3 linked regions of the Mus musculus genome follow. The protein of the gene in region 3 interacts with the protein of the main gene of each other region in a pairwise test. Links are inferred from orthologs where the notes say so. Each region holds a gene or a part of one and is shown on either strand. Other genes may lie near its edges.

Region 1 (6,572 bases), on a different chromosome or scaffold from region 3:
TTTATGAAACCACTTTGTAGAAAACTCAGTTGATAAAACCCAGTGGAAAAGACAAGATCAACTGGAACTCCATCTCTTTCAGAATTCAGAGACTTCATTAGAATCACCTTCATACACTTGTAAGCTGGTTTGCTTTTAAAAAAAAATATTCCAAACATCTTACTAAGAATACAGCCAGCCAAACTCCATGGAATCTTGTACCATGATGCTTTTCTATGCATTGGCAGAACCACAAGTGTGGCATTGCAGTGTACAAAAGTTCTTACCTTCCAATAGATGGTGATTTTTCTTGGACCTTACAACCATAGTTAGTGCTATTTGAAGATATTTAAGATTTAAAACTGCAGTTTTACTGTGTATTCAACTTTATGGTTTAGCATTTTGGGGGGGGGGGTGGTTCGAGACAGGGTTTCTCTGTGTAGCCCTGGCTGTACTGGAACTCACTTTGTAGACCAGGCTGGCCTCGAACTCAGAAATCCACCTGTCTCTGCCTCCCGAGTGCTGGGATTAAAGGCGTGCGCTACCACGCCCGGCCTGCATTTTTTTTCAAAGAACAATGTAAAAACAAACATTATTTTCCTTGTATTTCTCTTGTTATTAACTTTTAAAACCTAATGTGATGCATTGGTGCAAAGATAATTTATTGATACAATGGTAATTTATGTACTTTTTCAAGGCATGTCCAGAAACTGCCTGAGTGTCATTTGCTGAAATCATGAAATGCAGAGGCTTAGCGCAACCTTCCAAAATGAATATACCATTATGTGTACTGATTGATAAAAGGTGATGTCTGTAATCACTTGGAGCCAGTTACCTCTTCCTTTTTAAAACTCTGTTAAAGATTTCTGTATACTATACCATTCCTTCCCCATGTAATGGGGTTTTCTTGATGTTCCTGAAAATATTGCAAAGGTCTTTCTTAAGACCAGCAATGGAGATAAAAAATGTAAACAGACATACATACAGAGTACACAGATAGACACAAACACGGAGACAGAAGGCAGACACACAGGAAGAAAAAGATACACAAGCAGTATTCCACAAGTTTCAGATTTAAATTAACTGAATAGACACACAGGATGGAAGGCTCAGATAAGAGGAAGTAGCAAATTCAACTTTGGAGTCACAGTTAGTTAAATTACCTCTGAGGGAAAGGCTATTGATTCTTTCCTTAACTCAGATGCATTATTAATCACCAGTGTGTTTAATCTGTTCACATATGCAGAATCAATTAACTTGTGACATAATTTCTCTCTCTCTCTCTCTCTCTCTCTCTCTTTTTTTTTTTTTGCATAAGCACAATATGGGAAAATTTAAAACTCACCACAATGGGTAACAAGTAGCCCTGCATTCTGAAAGGTGTCCATGGGCTCAGAACCCTGTTCTTTAAAGAAAGACCATCAGGTCTGGGCTTGTGCTTCTGAGCTCTCACTTCCATGCTAGCCTAGAATCCATTTTAACCTAACATGCATCACAACAGGTTTTGAACCTCAGAGGTCACAAGAGAATCCTGGAACTCATTACTTTCATGAAAAGAGTTGACTTCCAGCCATATTCTCTAAGGGGAATTGGGTAATTCTCGAGTCTGCTTTCCCCAGCCTATGAAGATATGCATGGGTGTACATAGAGTATTATAGAGCACAATCAGGGAATCTTCTATGAGCAAATGGCTAAACAGTGCAGTATGTATTGTAGGTCTCTTTCTATTTCCTTCCTTCCTTCCTTCCTTCCTTTCTTCCTTCCTTCCTTCCTTCCTTCCTTCCTTCCTTCCTTCCTTCTTCTCTTCCTTCCTTCTTTCATTTCTTTGTTCTTTCTTTTGACAAAAATCTAGACACTTTTATAAGGGATTTTTCTTATTGCCTCACACTTCAAGCAGTAAATATTTGCCTAAACCTAACATCATTTTAATTCATCATTTTCTTTGACTAAGGTATCCAGCTCCTCTACCTTTTGTCCAAGTCTAATAATCTGTCTCCCACACGTTGTCTATGAGTTATTATTATTTGCCTTACTGCATATTCTTTTCAGGCTCTTTTCCTTGTTTATTTCTAAGCACATATTGAACTCAATTTTCATATCCTATGTTGTCCTCCTTTCCTTCAGGCATTTGCTATTATTCTCTTGCACACGAATCATTTTGTTCCTGTCCTCTTTCAGTTGATATATGTGGCTTACACACTTTGATCTATTTGATCATGACTCTGGGTTTTCAATTCTTTACCTAGGATATCATGTAAATTGCTCTCTTTCTAAGATACATGCACAGTTGATAGTTTGAGCCAAAGACATTTTGTCTTAGTTTTACTTTGTTTTGGGTATTGAGCATCAGAATTCAGAGGGACTGCTTAATTGTGTGCATTTTTAGACTAGACTCACAATGTGAGAAGTTAGGCAGGATCCGTTGTATCTGAAGGGTTCAGAACCCAGGTGAAGTGTCCTACTACATTCAGTTCTGGTCTAGTCTGGCAGCAACCTTTTGAGAAGCTGAGTAGAGTAGGTGCTGAGAAGTTGTGTTTCCACAACAGAGTTGGAGGAGTGGTTCCTGATGGGGAGGGTGGGCCTCCTGCATGATTAGATAAGTTTAAGAAAAAGACAAAATAAAACGAAGAATCAATCAATCAAAAAATCAATCAATGAATTAAGTAAGTAAGTAAGCAAGCAAGCAAGCAAGTAAGCAAGCAATAATCCAAATCAACAAAAATTGCTCTGAAGAACTGGGAAGCTAATTAATTAAGAAGTCCTGAAGGAGGTACGCTTAGAAGAATGGCAGGAAGCTGCTGAGTATTGGGCGGGTCCAGAAGGAGTGGCTCTGAGGAACCAGGAGGAAGTGACAGGAAGTTCCGCGATTCCAGCCTTCTCCATGTATCTTGGCTGCCTCGTGGTCAGGAAGTCATGGAGGGAGACTAGTGCCTAGTGTTTGCAGAACCTGAAAACTTCCTTAAGCTGCAGTTGCTGTGCTGGCTTCCTAGGACATTCAGCAGCTGGTCCTGTCACCTGCCAGGTCAGAGGAGCTCTTGGGTTGGGAAATGGGTAGGATAGGGCAGGCATGTGGAGCAGGGGTGCATTTTCTGTCGCCACTCTTACAATTCTGTTGTGGATATCTTACCATTATCAGGAAGTTTGAGATCCTGTAAATTGAGTTTATGGTGATGTTTTAATTGATTTTATGGTTGCCAGAATATTTTTCTAAAACAACCCTGTAGATCCTTGGCCCTCTCTGGAGTTTGTATACTGGGAGGGTTGTCTTTGCTAAGGCCTTAATAAAGCTCCTCGATTTCAGATTCATTCATGCTTTCTTAACTCCCCTGTTCCTCCATTTGCCATTTCATTTCCCTTTCTCCTGCAAACTGAGTAGGCATCCCGAGAGAGCTTTGTAGATATTTGTCATATGGGGACCAGTGCAGATTTGATAGAATTAGAAAATATTCCTTATAAAGCACCATCATATGGCTGTAAATATTAACATTAACCAAGCAAAGTTATATTCTCCATTAGCTGAACACAGAGGTATATGTATTCTTTGATGTAAATACATCTTTGAGAAATGTGTCTACATATGCTTTGTTATTAATGTCACACCTTAGGTTTGAATAAAACATGAAGACAGGATTGCAGCAAGGTACTTGCGAGGAGAAATTTCCTTAAGGAAATGAGGACAACATAGGAAATTTCCTTAAGGAAATGAGGACAATCATATGAAAATTGAATTTAATAGGTGGTTATAAATACAATACAAAAAAAAAGAAAGAAAAGAAAAGAAGAAAAAAGACCCTGAAAAGAAAATGCAGTAAGGTGAATAATAATCATTCATAGAGAATGTGTGTGAGACAGATTATCAGACTTGAAGATATATAGTAGGTTCTGTTAACCCTGAGTGTCACCAGAGAAAAACCAATTCCACCATGTGGGCCAGCTTTATCAAATAATTCATCCTGACCAAGTGATAGATTTTGGTCACATGCTACAGGCATTTTTTAGGCCATTGTAGTTTCCTATGAGGCTTTATTATTTTCCTAAGACGTGCAACCTGCAGCACTTCAAGAAGATACCTGGTTCTTGTGCTGATGGTGAGGTTAATTTTTGTCATTTCAGTCTGAGGGAGAAAACATTCAGAGATATCTGGTTGGGTCCAGACTGAAAAGGACCATCGTGTGGGGGAGGGGAATTGAGGATGTGATGGAGGATAGAGGGGCAGGTCAAGAGATAACCAGCAGCCAAGAAAGCACCTATCCAACTATGAGTTCATTGATATGTTAACAGGTACCCCAGGTAGCCATTCTTCCTGAATTTCTTTGAATTTTTCCAAAGTTCAGCCCAGCATGCTGTGCAGTGATGCTTTCAGGAATAGATATTTTAATAAGTGGAAAATTTACTATGGATTTTTTTGTGTTTTTTTTGTTTTTTGTTTTTTGATTTTTTTCGAGACAGGGTTTCTCTGTGTAGCCCTGGCTGTCCTGGAACTCATTTTGTAGACCAAGCTGGCCTCGGATTCAGAAATCTGCCTGCCTCTGCCTCCCAAGTGCTGGGATTAAAGGAGTGTGCCACCACTGCCCATCTTTTACTATGGATTAAGACAAAATTAGACAGCATCTTTTGAATAATTTTGAACTCTTACTTACTGGATTACTGTCTGGATTCTGGATCAGAATAATTTTCTTCCAGTCTTCCCTCCTCCTCTTCTGTGTTGCTTGGAAAAAGACTGTATGTGTGTTAACTGTGTGACTGACTCTCACATCTTTAGGGTAAATGAAATACTCAGAGAAAAGTAGGTATTCTCTTGATATCTTCTCCTCATGTTTATCCTTTTCTCGGGTATTGACATCTTTCATTTTTGTTCCATGAACAGTTCCATGTTCATTCTAAACAATATTTACCCATTTTCAGGTCTCCATATGCTCAGTCAAATCTCCATAACTGTAAATCAACACTAAGAGCACTAGGAGGTTAAAGGTCAAGGAGACTCTCACAAAGGATCCAGATATGTTAGAGGTATTGAACAATGGGTGGAGTTGGGCTCACCTGTTAGTAGAAAGAGGACATGAATTTGATTTTGCCAGATTCTATTTCCTTAATGAATCTGGAAAAGAATAATATTAGATGTGATGATATGGATTTACCATGGAAGGCAGTGCTTTCAGCTGTCACTTGATGTCAATATTTAATTAATTTTGATCCTGGGAAATTGCTGCTGCCCATTGAAATCAAAGTTTCTTTTATCCAAATTGAAAGCAGCATCAGGCTATGGGTGTGACAAGGGCAATTTATACATAAAGCAGATGTCAGCAGTAGATTCCCTCCTAGGGCCTGTGACCTTCCTTACTGGATTTTTAGGCAGATTTTCACTGTAATCTATGGATTTTTTTTCCTGTGGAGCTTGAAACAGAAAACCTTCTGTTACCCACAGATATTCTCGCCAGTATCATAAAAATTTCCATGTCTTTTCTGGCAGATTCAGATTGCCGCAAGCGGGTTGCAAACCTGAGTATAGACATTGATAACTCTGCTTCCTGCCCCAATTTGCCTAGCAGTTTTTTTCACTATGGAAATTCCCACCAGGGTGTCTAAGATGTCTGTTGAGAGTGAATGGTCTGATATTTGGTGGTTTTCTCCAGAAGGTCTACTTGCTTTCTGAATCACCTATTCTATACACTCTAAATAATTTCCTGTCCTTGACCTGTGTTCTTAATTGATGTTCAGTATTGCATTAATCCCCATTAGAGTGGAATAATTATTTTTGACCTTCTCTGTACTGGTTGCATTAGTTTTGAGTCTGTTTGCCTTATTTCTGAGGTATGTTTCTTCCCTTCTATTCTTGAGAGCTTTCATACTGAGCAGTGTCTACATTTTACCACAGGGCTGTATAAGTAAGTTTCATTCTCCTATTGTCAGTGTAATTTGGGAGGATTCCTGCCTACATCTTTTAACCTAGACCTAGTCATGTAAGCTTCTACTCTCCATACAGTATTATCTAAGGCCTGATGTGTTTTCAGCCTCTGAACTTTGCTGCTGAATAAGCCCCTCCTCCCCCCACCTTCTTATTCCTTCTCAATGCTTACCTGGCTGATTCAATTCAATTTTTCCAGCTCAAACTCTTCTCTGAGCTGAGTTCTTCTCTCAGACACTGAATTGTTCCACTTGGCCTTAAATTTACTGTAGAAGTCTTTTCTCATCTTCTGGCTCCTTCTCTTTCTCCTGCTCATTCTGTCTTTACCTGTTCCTAGCATGTTCTCTCTTCAGTCTGATTCTGTAAAACTCTCAGAACCCAGATGCAGTGTCCTAGTACATCCAGCTCTGGTCTAGTCTGGCAGCAACATTGTGGGGAAGCTGTGCAGAGTAGGTCCAGAGAAGTTGTGTGAAAGGCAGCCTGCAACAGAGTTGGACGAGTGGTTCCTGCTGGGGAGGGTGGGCTTCATGCATGATTAGTTAAGTTTAAGAAAAAGACAAAATAAAAACGAAGAATCAACCAATCAATCAATGAATTCAGTAAGCAAGCAAGCAAAAATCCAAAACAATAAAAATTGCTGTGAAGAATTGGGAAGCTAATTAATTAAAAGGTCCTAAAGTAGATGGTC
Region 2 (6,370 bases), on a different chromosome or scaffold from region 3:
ACATTAAACTCTGTAACTTTTAAATCACTAAATTAATGAAATGTGCCCAAACCAGTATGTTCTTAGGTACCTAATTAGTGGTTAAGCAATATAATTTACATTAAATATAGATCCCTACAATATAAGAATTGCATAGTTACAATATGAAGGAGACACTCACTAAAACTTCATTTCAGTGGACAACTAAGGCTGGCTAACTTTCTACTGTTAAATATTAACACACCCTGTAGACCAAGTAAAATAAAGCAGCTTGTACCACCAGACGGTAAATGATCATGTATGATTCCTTTCAACAAAAATTCGGCATTACCTTTCTCCGTTTAATATACATTTACTGACTGAATGCCCTTGTTATCTATCAAGAGACTGAAGTGGAATGTCTACTCCCCCTAATACTCTCGCGATTTAGTTAAGTAAAGAACACCCACAGTAGTTCCACCTCCCTTCTCAAGTCTCATGCCAACTAAAACTCAATGGTGTAAGATTAAAACTATTTCAGTGTCTGGGCTCCCCCACCCCTGCCACTTCACCCTTTCTTTTTGGGGAAGGGAGAGGGAGACAGGGTCTATATCAAAATTGACAGGCCATCAATTCCGGATCCTTCTACCTCAGCACTATACCCTTCTCCCAACCTGTGCTTAGAATTAGTTCTGTGCCTTATTAATAAATACCTCCTTCAGCTCTGAAATGGCCGTGGGGGTTTATCTACTTGCGCGATCTTTTTGTCTATTTAAAATTTGAAGAACAGGATATAAAATAGCTACAGAGGTTATTTCATATTGTAAGATTTTGTTTTACTTTTTTGGGACATGGTCTCATCCTGTACCTCCTGCTGGCCTAAAAAGATTCTACAGTCCACCTGCCTTAGGCTCCAAAGAACCTGGGCCACAGGCATGAGCCACCATCAAGGCAGGCACTTTTCAGCCTCTAGAGCTTGGGGCACTGCAGAGTTAGCTCAGTGGGTAAACAGGTAAGTAGACTTGCTATGAAAGTAGGGGAGCCCAAACCAGGATCCTAAAACTAGAGTAAAAAGGCTGTAACCCGCAACATGTTGAGGCCCAGAAACCAGACTAGTCAACACTTTACCCCAAAGGAGTAAGGTGGAGATGCCCCTGCTACACAGCATATAGACATGTGCAAACACGTCACACAAATACCTTTTGCCTTTCTTCAGAAACATAAAATAATTCTAAAACAATATAAAACAGTCATTTTCCTGAATGGGAGGTTCTTTGTGAATTGAAATTTGACTTGAAATTCTTCCCCCCAAAAATGCCATTGTAATTCATTTTTTTAATTACCAAAGGAATTCCCCTCCTTCCACATCACACTGGAATTCAGTACCACTCCAGGGGCACCAGTTTACCTTTCCTTTCCCTCCTGACCCCACAGCCACGACCGTTGCTTGCAACACTTTTCCTTGAGACTTTTCTGGAAGCATAATGCCACCTTTGGTTACAGTTTCGGCAGCACTCCTTTCAACCAATACTCTGTCAAAGAGCGGAAGAAACTTCCTAAAAGCTTGTCCAGCCTGTGGAGAGAAATGTGATCAAACAGAGTGTAAGTTCGAAGTGTCAGAACACGAACAGTTAAGACCACCGCAAGCCTTAACTCTCAACAGGTCAAAACTGACCTGTTCCAAAAAGGACAAGAAAATTCAAGTGTACTTTTAGAATATACTCAGTGTTCCACTCTATATAGGACAAACTGAGTTTCATTTCCCTGTCTGGTGTGTGTGTGTGTGTGGTGGTGGTGGTGGGGGGGGGTCTTCATTACTAATCAGCAATCGCCACCTTGATCTATTCCAAGGTCAAACATTTCTTTAATTTTTTTAAAAATTCGAATAACGGGGGAGTGGCGTCACTTTTCGAGCCTGGATCTTAGTCTTTCTCCAACATAGGACACATCCACTGAAGCCCTGCCAGGGCAGGTGGGCTTCTGCGTGTGCATCGGGTTCCCGCCCCCTGCCCCAGACGCTTTGTCGCACACGTGCGTGCGGCAAAGCCATGGTGGAGAGAGAAATGGCCTCGCTTCTGCAGAGCCATGGGCGGACACCGGACACTGACCAGACCCCGGACCCCTGTCCTATTAGTCCCAAAGCGCACAAGGGTTCGCCGTGGGCCGCAGGCCGAACTGGACCCGCAGGCCTGCCAACCACGAGACACTCACCATGACTCTCGCCTTCGCCGCCACCACCGCAGCTCCGGACTCTGAACTCGGGCCGCTGCTGCAAGGAGAGTCCTGCTGGCCGGCTGGGACACGTGAAAAGGCCGCGCAGCGCGCAGGCGCACTCAGCCCCCCGAGCGTGAGAGGGGGCGGCCACGCCGACGCGCGCGCCGATTGGTGGCGAGGGCTCCGCGCAAGGGGGCCGACGCGGGCGGCCGGAGGCGGAAGAAAAGGGGAGCACTTTCTAGGCTTTTCCAGGCCGGCCGCCGAGGTGAAAGAACGAGCCCCCCTCCCGGAAATGACGCCACTTGACCTTTCACCCACGGGACGCGCGGGGCCTTCCGGAAGGTTCTAGAACGGACCGTGGCCCAGGAACCAGCGTAGGGCGGCGGGAGAGGGCTGAGGCCGCAGAGCTGAGGCGGCTCTGGTACGGAGGGCGGGGCCGCGCGCGCCGCATGCAGATTGCAGGGCCCCGGCGTGGGAGAGAGCGGGGGGCGCGCGCGCGCACACGCGGGGCCGCGGGGCGGGGCGGGGAGGGAGGGGACTCGGGCTCATTGCGGTGCGCGCCCAGAGCTGGGTCCCTCACTCGCCGCAGACGGCCTGCCTCGCCTCGTGCTCTCCTGCCGCCGCCCCGCAGGTACGCGGCCTCGGCGTGCAGGGCGCCCCGGCGCTCGCGGGGGGCTGCTTGCAGCGCGGACCGAGCACGGAGGACTAGGGGGAGAAGTCTGGCAGCGACGCCGCAGGCTCGGCTCACTTGTCCAGGCCCAGCGGGGCCACGCTGGTTTCATCACGTGTGGCGGGGACCACGCGATCCAGGCCGAGCGCCGGAGCAAGGGCGGGCTAGGGTGGAAGCAACTTGGGCCCTCTGGTGCCACCTGCGCCTGGCGCACTGCAGGACTCTGTGGGAGGGTGGTCGGGGTCCTTTAGTCCCCGGTGGCCGCGGCGGTCCGGTGTTCACTTTGACCTTGCTCGGGGCTCCTGGTCGGGAAGACACGTGGGGCCGCGAGGCTGGACTGACCTACTGTCTTTTCCTCCGGCCTTGCTAGCTGCTGTGTTACCGTAGCTTCGGGTGGATACCTGGCGACACACTCAGAGGGTTTTGCACCGTCATGAGTACTTCTGTAGTTCTCTAGGCAATTGCATTTAGAACCTGCCTTGCTTGCACCAACTTGATTTTTTTCCTTTGGACACTTTTCGGAGTGGATCTGCTCCCAAGGCCGCTTTGGCAGTGAAAGATTAACTTGAGAGGGCAGAGTGGGTGGCCATGGGGATGTGGTTTTCTGTGCTTTGTGCTTATGCTGTTGGTCAGGCTTGGGGTCAGCCTCCATGATCAGTTGGCTAGCAGATTATGCCCTGAATCTGCAGCGCCCAGGCATGGTGGTTAGCAGAGGACAGCCCAGCTCCAATCTAGCCTCCCATGTTTTGAAGCACCGTTGGACAAGTTTGTAGTGATTTTTCTTTTTTCCTTCCCCAGAAATGCTTCGACTACCCACAGTCCTTCGCCAGATGAGACCAGTGTCCCGGGCACTGGCTCCTCATCTCACTCGGGCCTATGCCAAAGATGTAAAATTTGGTGCGGACGCTCGAGCCTTAATGCTTCAAGGTGTAGACCTTTTAGCAGATGCTGTAGCTGTTACAATGGGGCCAAAGGTACCAGTATACTTAAATGGTGTTAAAGAATATAGTAGCTGCAAGACAGCAATTTGTTATCAAGTTTTGTGAAAAATCTAATTTGCATGTGGTACAACTTAGTGGTCTAGAGGTGTTATTTAGTCAGGAGGTCTATTGGTCATTCTACCACCATGGTGTCCTTACTACTGCTCCAGGCGATTTGGGGGACTTTTGTACATTGTGATGTAATAGAGTAGTAATATCTCAAGGAGGATTTTCAAACTATAGTCATGATTTTGTGCATGCTTGCATTAAATTTTGGATCTCGTCCCAGTAGTTAGAGGGTATAGAGGGGAAAGTACAACTTAAGTCTAATAATACCTCAAAGTATATAGCTGTAATGTGAGAGTTCACTCATTGTGCTGAAATACTCCAACACATAAGGCAAAATGCACTAGCATAGAATCATTGGTTTCTGTGTTTTTTGTTTTGTTTTTTTAAGTAACTAAACCTTTTTTTTTCAAGATTTATTTATTATATGTAAGTACACTGTAGCTGTTTTCAGGCACACCAGAAGAGGGTGTCAGATCTCATTACGGGTGGTTGTGAGCCACCATGTGGTTGCTGGGATTTGAAGGTTGCTGGGACCTTCGGAAGAGCAGTCAGTGCTCTTACCCGCTGAGCCATCTTTACAAACTTTACTTTATGGGCTTTGTTGTTTGGGGGTTTTGTTTTTAAGACAGCATTTCTCCGGTAGCCTAGACTGTCCTGAGACTCAGAGCGATCCATCCACCAGCTTCTGCAACACATATCACCAGACTGTTTTCACTTGCCCTTGGGAGAAAACCTTTGTGGTCTTCCATTCGTCCCTTCATTGTACACCTCGTGATTGCTACAATTTTCACATTGCAAAAAAATTGTCCAGTTTTTGCTTTTGAGAGAGTCTCACTAGCTTAGTCTGAGTTCTAACTCCCTTGTGGCAAGGCTGTCCTTGAACAACTTACATCTCAAGTGTAGGAATTCAGTATTATACTCACAGGGTCTCTAACCATAGCTGGCCAAGTCAGCCTTGAACTCAGAGCAGTGCTAAGATCAGAGGTTGTGATCACACATTTGTGTGGCTGAATAGGGAGCTATAGTACTTTGAGGACACCATTGGATGTGGTGCACAGTCATTTTAAATTAATGCTAAACTGGTCTAAAGAGCTGCATAATCCCAACACTCAGGAGGCTTAGGCTGGTAGTTCTCTAAGTTTCAGGAAAGCATGGCAACAATAGAAATCCTGTCTTGAAAAACAAAACAACAAAAAAACCTGCATCTTTTTTTTTTTTCTCGTATTTTCCTCAATTACATTTCCAATGCTATCCCAAAAGTCTTCCACACATGCACCCCCCCCCCCAAAACCTGCATCTTTAAGAACTGTTTACATAGCTCAAGACAATAGAAGTTTGGTTCAAATCCAAAAGTTGCCAATACTTGTTGGTGTCATATTTGAAGTTTTTTATTGAGCGAACCAGAAAAGCACATTATCTTACTGGCTGATATTTAGTGAATGAATTTTAAAGCAAAACATGTTTTAAAAATAGTTCATAAGCAGGGCTGTAGTGGTAGTGGTGCATGCCTCTAATTCCAGCTAGCCTTTAGGAGGCAGAGGCAAGCAGATCTTTGTGTTTTGTGAGTTTGAGGACAGGAAAGGCTACACAGAAATGTCCTGTCTCAGAAAACAAAATAAACCTAGGTCATAGCCAAAACTCAAGTGCAAATGATGTGAAGAGTGTTCTGGGATTTGGCGATTAACATCTGTGCTTTCTTGTTTTATGGGTGGCATCTGTTAGTACCAGGGAATTCCTGTTGTGCTTCATTCAATGTTGGACTCCTGGCAAATGATCAGTGCTCATTTTTTATAGACCTAAGATGGTTGATTAACGTGGCTTTGAGATTCATGTTGCAGGATGGTTAAAAATGACAAATTTGAGGGTTATCATTGAGGGTTGCTTTTTTTTTCCCTGTCGCTGTAGGGAAGAACTGTGATTATTGAACAGAGTTGGGGAAGTCCCAAAGTAACAAAAGATGGGGTCACTGTTGCAAAGTCAATTGATTTAAAGGATAAATACAAAAATATTGGAGCTAAACTTGTTCAGGACGTTGCCAATAACACAAACGAAGAGGCTGGGGATGGCACCACCACTGCCACTGTTCTGGCACGATCTATTGCCAAGGAGGGCTTTGAGAAGATCAGCAAAGGGGCTAATCCAGTGGAAATCCGGAGAGGTAAGAGTATATCATTGATCTTATCCTGTAAAGAATTCTGTTGTCTTTATCTTTGTCCTTTTTATTACATTCGTTGTAGAGTTTGTGAGTGTTCATTCTTGGTGGAATTGCCCTTTCCTTACTTATGTGGGTTTCCAAGGTGGAACTGAGGCTTCATTCAGGCTTGTGGGTCAAGTACTTTTATCCCCTAGACCATCTTCCACATCTTGTTTTTTAACTTGTCTCAATTAATGGAAGTGAAAATTCAGGGTTCTCTGTAGACCAGGCTAGTTAGCTTCAAACTCAGAGATCTGCCTGCTTCTTCTGCCTTCAGAGTGCTAG
Region 3 (5,082 bases):
TGGAGTTCATGTCCCAGCACCCATATAACAGTGCAGACATGCTAAATCTCCATAACTCCAGCTCCAAGGACTCCAGCACTCTTTTCTGGTTTCCATGTGTGCAAACACATTTGTGCGCACATGTATACATGTGCACACTCATACACACTTGCAAATAAATCCTTTTATTAAAGTTCAGTTCAGGATCATTTTTTGATACATAACTGGTAGGCCAGCCTAGGAATCATGAGACGCTGCTTAAAACAAACCCTCCCTGGGCTGGGAGATGGCTCAGCGGGTAAGAACACACTCTCTGCAGTCCTGAGTACCAAAAGTAGCATCCCAAGCTGGATAGCTCACAAGTGTCTGTTACCTCGCTCTGTGGAGAATGGAAACACTATTATTGAGCCTAGCCAAGAAAATGTGGACTCCAGGCTCAAGGAGATAGTGTGCCTTAAAGAAATGGCAAAGGGTGGTAGAGGGCAAACTAATAGAAATCTTAATCCCTCTGCCACAAAAATAAAGTGAGTACAACTGAACCAGGGTGAGTGTAATGATTTTGGAAATTCTTTAAAAATATCTTATGCTTTCTTTTCTCTTTTGCAGACAGTTCATCATCATTGTGTGTGGTGGTCAGCACAGTTGGTAAACTGTGTGAGATAATTAACAAGGATGTGAGTGAGCAGGTTAAACAAGTGTTAGGACCTGAGGATCTACAAAGGTATTTGTTAGAAATGCATCTAGAGTAAAAGCTCCAAGCTCTCCCAGCCCCTGACTGTCCGTGTTGGCAGTGACAGGGCCCAGGGGTCCTTGAACTCTGTGTAGATCAGGGTGGCCCTGAACCAAAAAAGAGCTGCCTGCCTCTGCCTCCAGAGTGCTGCCACCAAAGATGTGTCACATGTACTCAAGATAAAAACTGTTGGGGCTGTAAGCTCACAAAGGGATGTTGGGAAGTTTAGCAGAACTCACCCTTGGGGAAAGTTGTATATGGAGAAATTAAAATCTTTATAACCAATTCTTGAGTTGGATTATAACATATAATTTATTTCTAGGACACTACCAAAACTAATAATTACTAGTCATATTTTTTTGTTTAGAAGATAAATATTAAGGATTTTTAAAAGACTATGTACCACCAATGTAAAAACCTGATGTTTTAAAAAGTACATTATGAGAATGTGTTTGTGTGTGTATGTGTGTGTATGTATTGTGTTTATATATATGCATATATGTATATGCATATATGTATATGCATATACATATATGCATATATATAAACATATAAGACATATATGTATATATAAACACACACACATGTATCATCTATATATTCTGCATATTTTCCAGTAAGAACCCTTATATAATCTGGCAGTTGAGTTTTTCATACCGTCTCTCAGGCCTCTCCGCTCCTTCCATTGTTTTACTGACCACTGGTACCTTCTGTTCAGTTGAATATTGGGTAAAGAAGCCTATTTCTAGCAGATGTTCTAAAGGTGGTGCTTTTTTGTAAACTGTGTATGTTTTAAACAGTATTATCAAGAAATTGGAAGAGCATGAGGAATTTTTCCCAGCGTTTCAAGCTTTTGCTAATGATCTTCTTGAAATCTTAGGTGAGATGTCTGTTGATGGTGGCTGACTCTTTCTTGGAAGGTGTTGGTGGATTTGAAGGGGTATTCCTTAGAAATTAGGTTCATGTCTTACTCTAGGTGTTTGGAAAGTAATAACTACTTTGCAGGAAGACTTGGTTAGGATTAATTTACAGAATAGAAAAACAGCCTATAAAGAAATAAAAACTATCTTTTTCTTTTCTTTTTAAATATTTTTATATGTGTATAGATATTTGCCTGCATGTATGTATGGAGGCCAGAAGAGATGGTCTGATACTCTGAAACTAGAGTTATAGTCAGTTAGCTACTGTTGGTGCTGGGAACTGGCCCCAGGTCCTCTTATAAGAGCAGCAGGTGCTTCTAACTGCTGAGTCATCTCTTCAGCCCTCTGGGACTATCTTGAGAAATGGCATTATTTTGTGAGACTCTGGGTTCTATCATTGTTTATTAAAACATGACCAAGCAAAATAAGCTAGAAAAATGTAGAGCCTGCTGCTTGGAACCTTCCAAGGGATGGTGTCTGGCTAAGGGAAAGTACTTGCTTCCTCTGAGAACAAGAGCTTTAGAGAGTGAATTCTGGCTCAGGGTCACTGAAGTCTGATACCTTAGGAGAAAAATCAATCTCCGAAAGAACCGGAACTGCTGTGTCCGGAAGTTCATACAGGATAGGCTGTGTCCCTGAGGCTTGTTCTAAGGTGTCCCACACCTCTTACTGGACAAATCTCCCCAAAGAAGGCTGAGAACACTCTGAGACTAGAAGAATCAGGAAGGAGCACTGTCTGTGAGACCTGCAAAAGAGATGCATGTCTTCAATGTCTAATGGGACTCATGTTGGCTTGCCCATGTAGCTGTACAGAGATTTAAAGAGAGACAAAGGCATCATAAACACAGCCAACTGGATGTGTTACTAAGCCTGTGTCTGGTAAGATTAATGCCAGTCAATGGGGGCGCTGCAGATTCCCTGTGAATCCCCTGTGGGAGGCAGTGGTAGTCTGCAGCCAACCTGGGAGAGAACCCTGTGCACAACTGAGCACGCAGCTACTGCTGCCCTTGTGTGTGAAGGCGGCTTCTGCGGAGAGCGTCTCACATCTCTGAGCTTTGCACTGGAAACATCGCTCCCTTTCTAATTCCTCCTTTTCCTGTTACAGAGATTGATGACCTGGATGCCATCGTACCTGCAGTAAAGAAATTAAAGATCCTTTCATACTGAAAACAAACCAGGTCAACTTCACTGTGTAAACTGCATTCGTAACATTCTAAGCATTTGTAAAGGTCTGATCCTGAGACAAGGCTGTACACAATCAGCTCTCAGAATTCATCCTCTCACCCCGGGTCTGCTCAACCCATATAATTTTTATTTTTGATTATTTAATAAAATGTAGCTGTTAAGTTATTAAAATAGTGAGTTAACTTTAGATTCCTTAATCGTTTCCTAAGCAATGCTTGAGTGCTGTAAAATGTAAGGAAGAGATTGTGGGTAACAAAAGAGACATTGCAAAGTACAGAAAGTCGCAGTTAACTTCAAGGTTTAATGACCCTTTGGTCAGAGAAAAAAGAATGCCAGTTGCTTTCTAAGCCCAACGGATAGGAAGCCTCTGTTCTCCAGGCAAGGATTAGTGGGCATATTCTATAAGAAAACTTACAGCTATTGCCCTGTCAAAGCAAGAAGGAAAGGTTTTGTCTTTGTATTAAGATAGGAAGTTAGTCATGGAGTGAAATAGATGATTAGGTAGAAGTGTTTCTGTGTCTTTATTTGCAATACTATGTAATGTACTTTTATAAAGAAATAAGATCACAAATAAAGTTTTCGTAAAGAGTTTCCAAACGTAAGTGTCCCTAGTGACTTATTTGTATGGCTAACAATAAAGAGTCGTCTTCTCCCCCTAGGCTGACTCCCTTGGGCGTTATCCTCCCTGCACGTCACTGAAGAGGCCTGTTCTTACTGCTGTCTACTGGATCTCTAGTCTCAGTATTCAGTCTGATGGCGGGGGCAGTGTCCTGCATCACACCCATGACTACAAGCTACTTTAGGCTACCCCATATGCTTCTTTTTAAAATGCCACTCTTACTGGTTGATATATAGATTATTTTAAGTATTTCCAGGAGGCCAGCATAGTGGTATGGCGAGTGCCAGTGAACAGGGATTCAGACTCCTAGGAGTTGTGACTTGGACAACATAAAATAATATCTTAGGTTCCTTCTTACTTTATAGTCCTTTGCTTTGTCACCCTGTAGTTAAATTTCTAAATAGTAACCCAGTGGTTTTCGACCTTCCTAACGCTGTGACCCTTTAGTTCACTTCCTCATGCTGTGGTGAACCCAACCATGAAATTGTTTTCATTGCTATTTCACAACTGTAATCTTGCTACTCTTATGAATTGTAATGTAAATATTTGTGTTTCTGATAATCTTAGGTGACCCCTGTGAAAGGGTCATTCAAGCCCCCAAAGGGGTTGTGACCCATAGATTGAGAAACTGCTATAACTAACCCATAACCTGTAGAATGTTTTGATGAAGTTGTTTTAAAAAACATTTGGTTATTTATTCTGAATTGATTGAATTACTCTCAAGAAAATTTTGTGAGGATTGGAAGTCTTTCTAAAACTTTGGATATGGTTTAATTTTATTAATTTTAAGTGTGTGTGTGTGTGTCTGTGCATGCACATCATGTGTGATTGCAGGTACCCATGGAGTCCAGAAAAGGGTGCTGGATTCCCGGAGCTGGAGTTACCTGCAGCTGTGACCGACCCAATGTGGGTACTGAACTGAACTGAACTCTGGTTCTCTGCAAGAGCACTGGGCACTCATAACCACTGAGTAGCTCACTGGCCCAAAGGTTGGAAGTCTTGACAATGTGCAGTGTGTGTGTGTGTGTGTGTGTGTGTGTGTGTGTGTGTACATGCACGTGTTTAAGATGGGTTGTCCCATATTCCAGGTTGGCTTTTGAACTCACTATTGCCAAAGCTAACTTTGAACTCTGCACCACCCTCAAGTGATAATATTAGAGGCGTATGCCCCCACATCTGGCCTTAACAATATTTGAGAAAAAAAGAAATGCAACTAAAAGATTATAATAGGGGTTAGAGAGAAGGCTCAGCAGTTAAGAATGTTCATTCTTGCAGAGCGTCCTACTTCAGTGTCTATGTGAGTTCCCATGTTGGGTGACTCTCAACTGCCTGTACCTCCAGCTCTAAGGAGATCCAGTGCCTCCTACCTCAGGCCTCTATAGGCACCTGTACTCACATAATAAGATCTCTTAGAGATTTTATTAACCTAAATTTTAGCAGTAAGTTTTAATCTCATAGCTAACTCTTAGTTTAAGACAGATTTCAAATCCTTTTCCAGAGGACAAGAGTGTTTTAGAAATGCCTCAAGGGCGATTCAAGACTGTCACACTGATAGAAATCGTTTTTAGACTCTGTTTGTTTGTTTGTTTTTGTTTTTCGAGACAGGGTTTCTCCGTATAGCCCTGGCTGTCCTGGAACTCACTTTGTAG

What was found. The genes of interacting proteins can lie anywhere in the genome.
Region 1: the proteins of Cep70 (region 3) and Zfp985 interact in binary tests that used the Homo sapiens proteins (3 or more experiments, as listed by UniProt). The two-hybrid records come from large-scale screens. The link is inferred for Mus musculus from reciprocal best matches to the Homo sapiens genes CEP70 and ZNF578.
Region 2: the proteins of Cep70 (region 3) and Hspd1 interact in binary tests that used the Homo sapiens proteins (3 or more experiments, as listed by UniProt). The two-hybrid records come from large-scale screens. The link is inferred for Mus musculus from reciprocal best matches to the Homo sapiens genes CEP70 and HSPD1.

Annotation. Positions count from the first base shown.
Region 1 is NC_000070.6:147,550,426-147,556,997, forward strand, and holds the start of Zfp985 (uncharacterized protein LOC433804), read left to right. Parts: upstream 1-2,851; 5' UTR 2,852-3,001; intron 3,002-6,572. UniProt on the Homo sapiens protein: May be involved in transcriptional regulation.
Region 2 is NC_000067.6:55,084,212-55,090,581, reverse strand, and holds the start of Hspd1 (60 kDa heat shock protein, mitochondrial), read left to right. Parts: upstream 1-2,649; 5' UTR 2,650-2,803; intron 2,804-3,640; 5' UTR 3,641-3,642; coding exon 3,643-3,816; intron 3,817-5,796; coding exon 5,797-6,049; intron 6,050-6,370. Other genes in the region: Hspe1 (10 kDa heat shock protein, mitochondrial), read right to left, coding at 1,367-1,531, 2,170-2,172. UniProt on the Homo sapiens protein: Chaperonin implicated in mitochondrial protein import and macromolecular assembly. Together with Hsp10, facilitates the correct folding of imported proteins.
Region 3 is NC_000075.6:99,296,994-99,302,075, forward strand, and holds the end of Cep70 (centrosomal protein of 70 kDa), read left to right. Parts: intron 1-585; coding exon 586-700; exon of another isoform or gene 701-1,509; coding exon 1,510-1,589; intron 1,590-2,013; exon of another isoform or gene 2,014-2,734; coding exon 2,735-2,796; 3' UTR 2,797-3,411; downstream 3,412-5,082.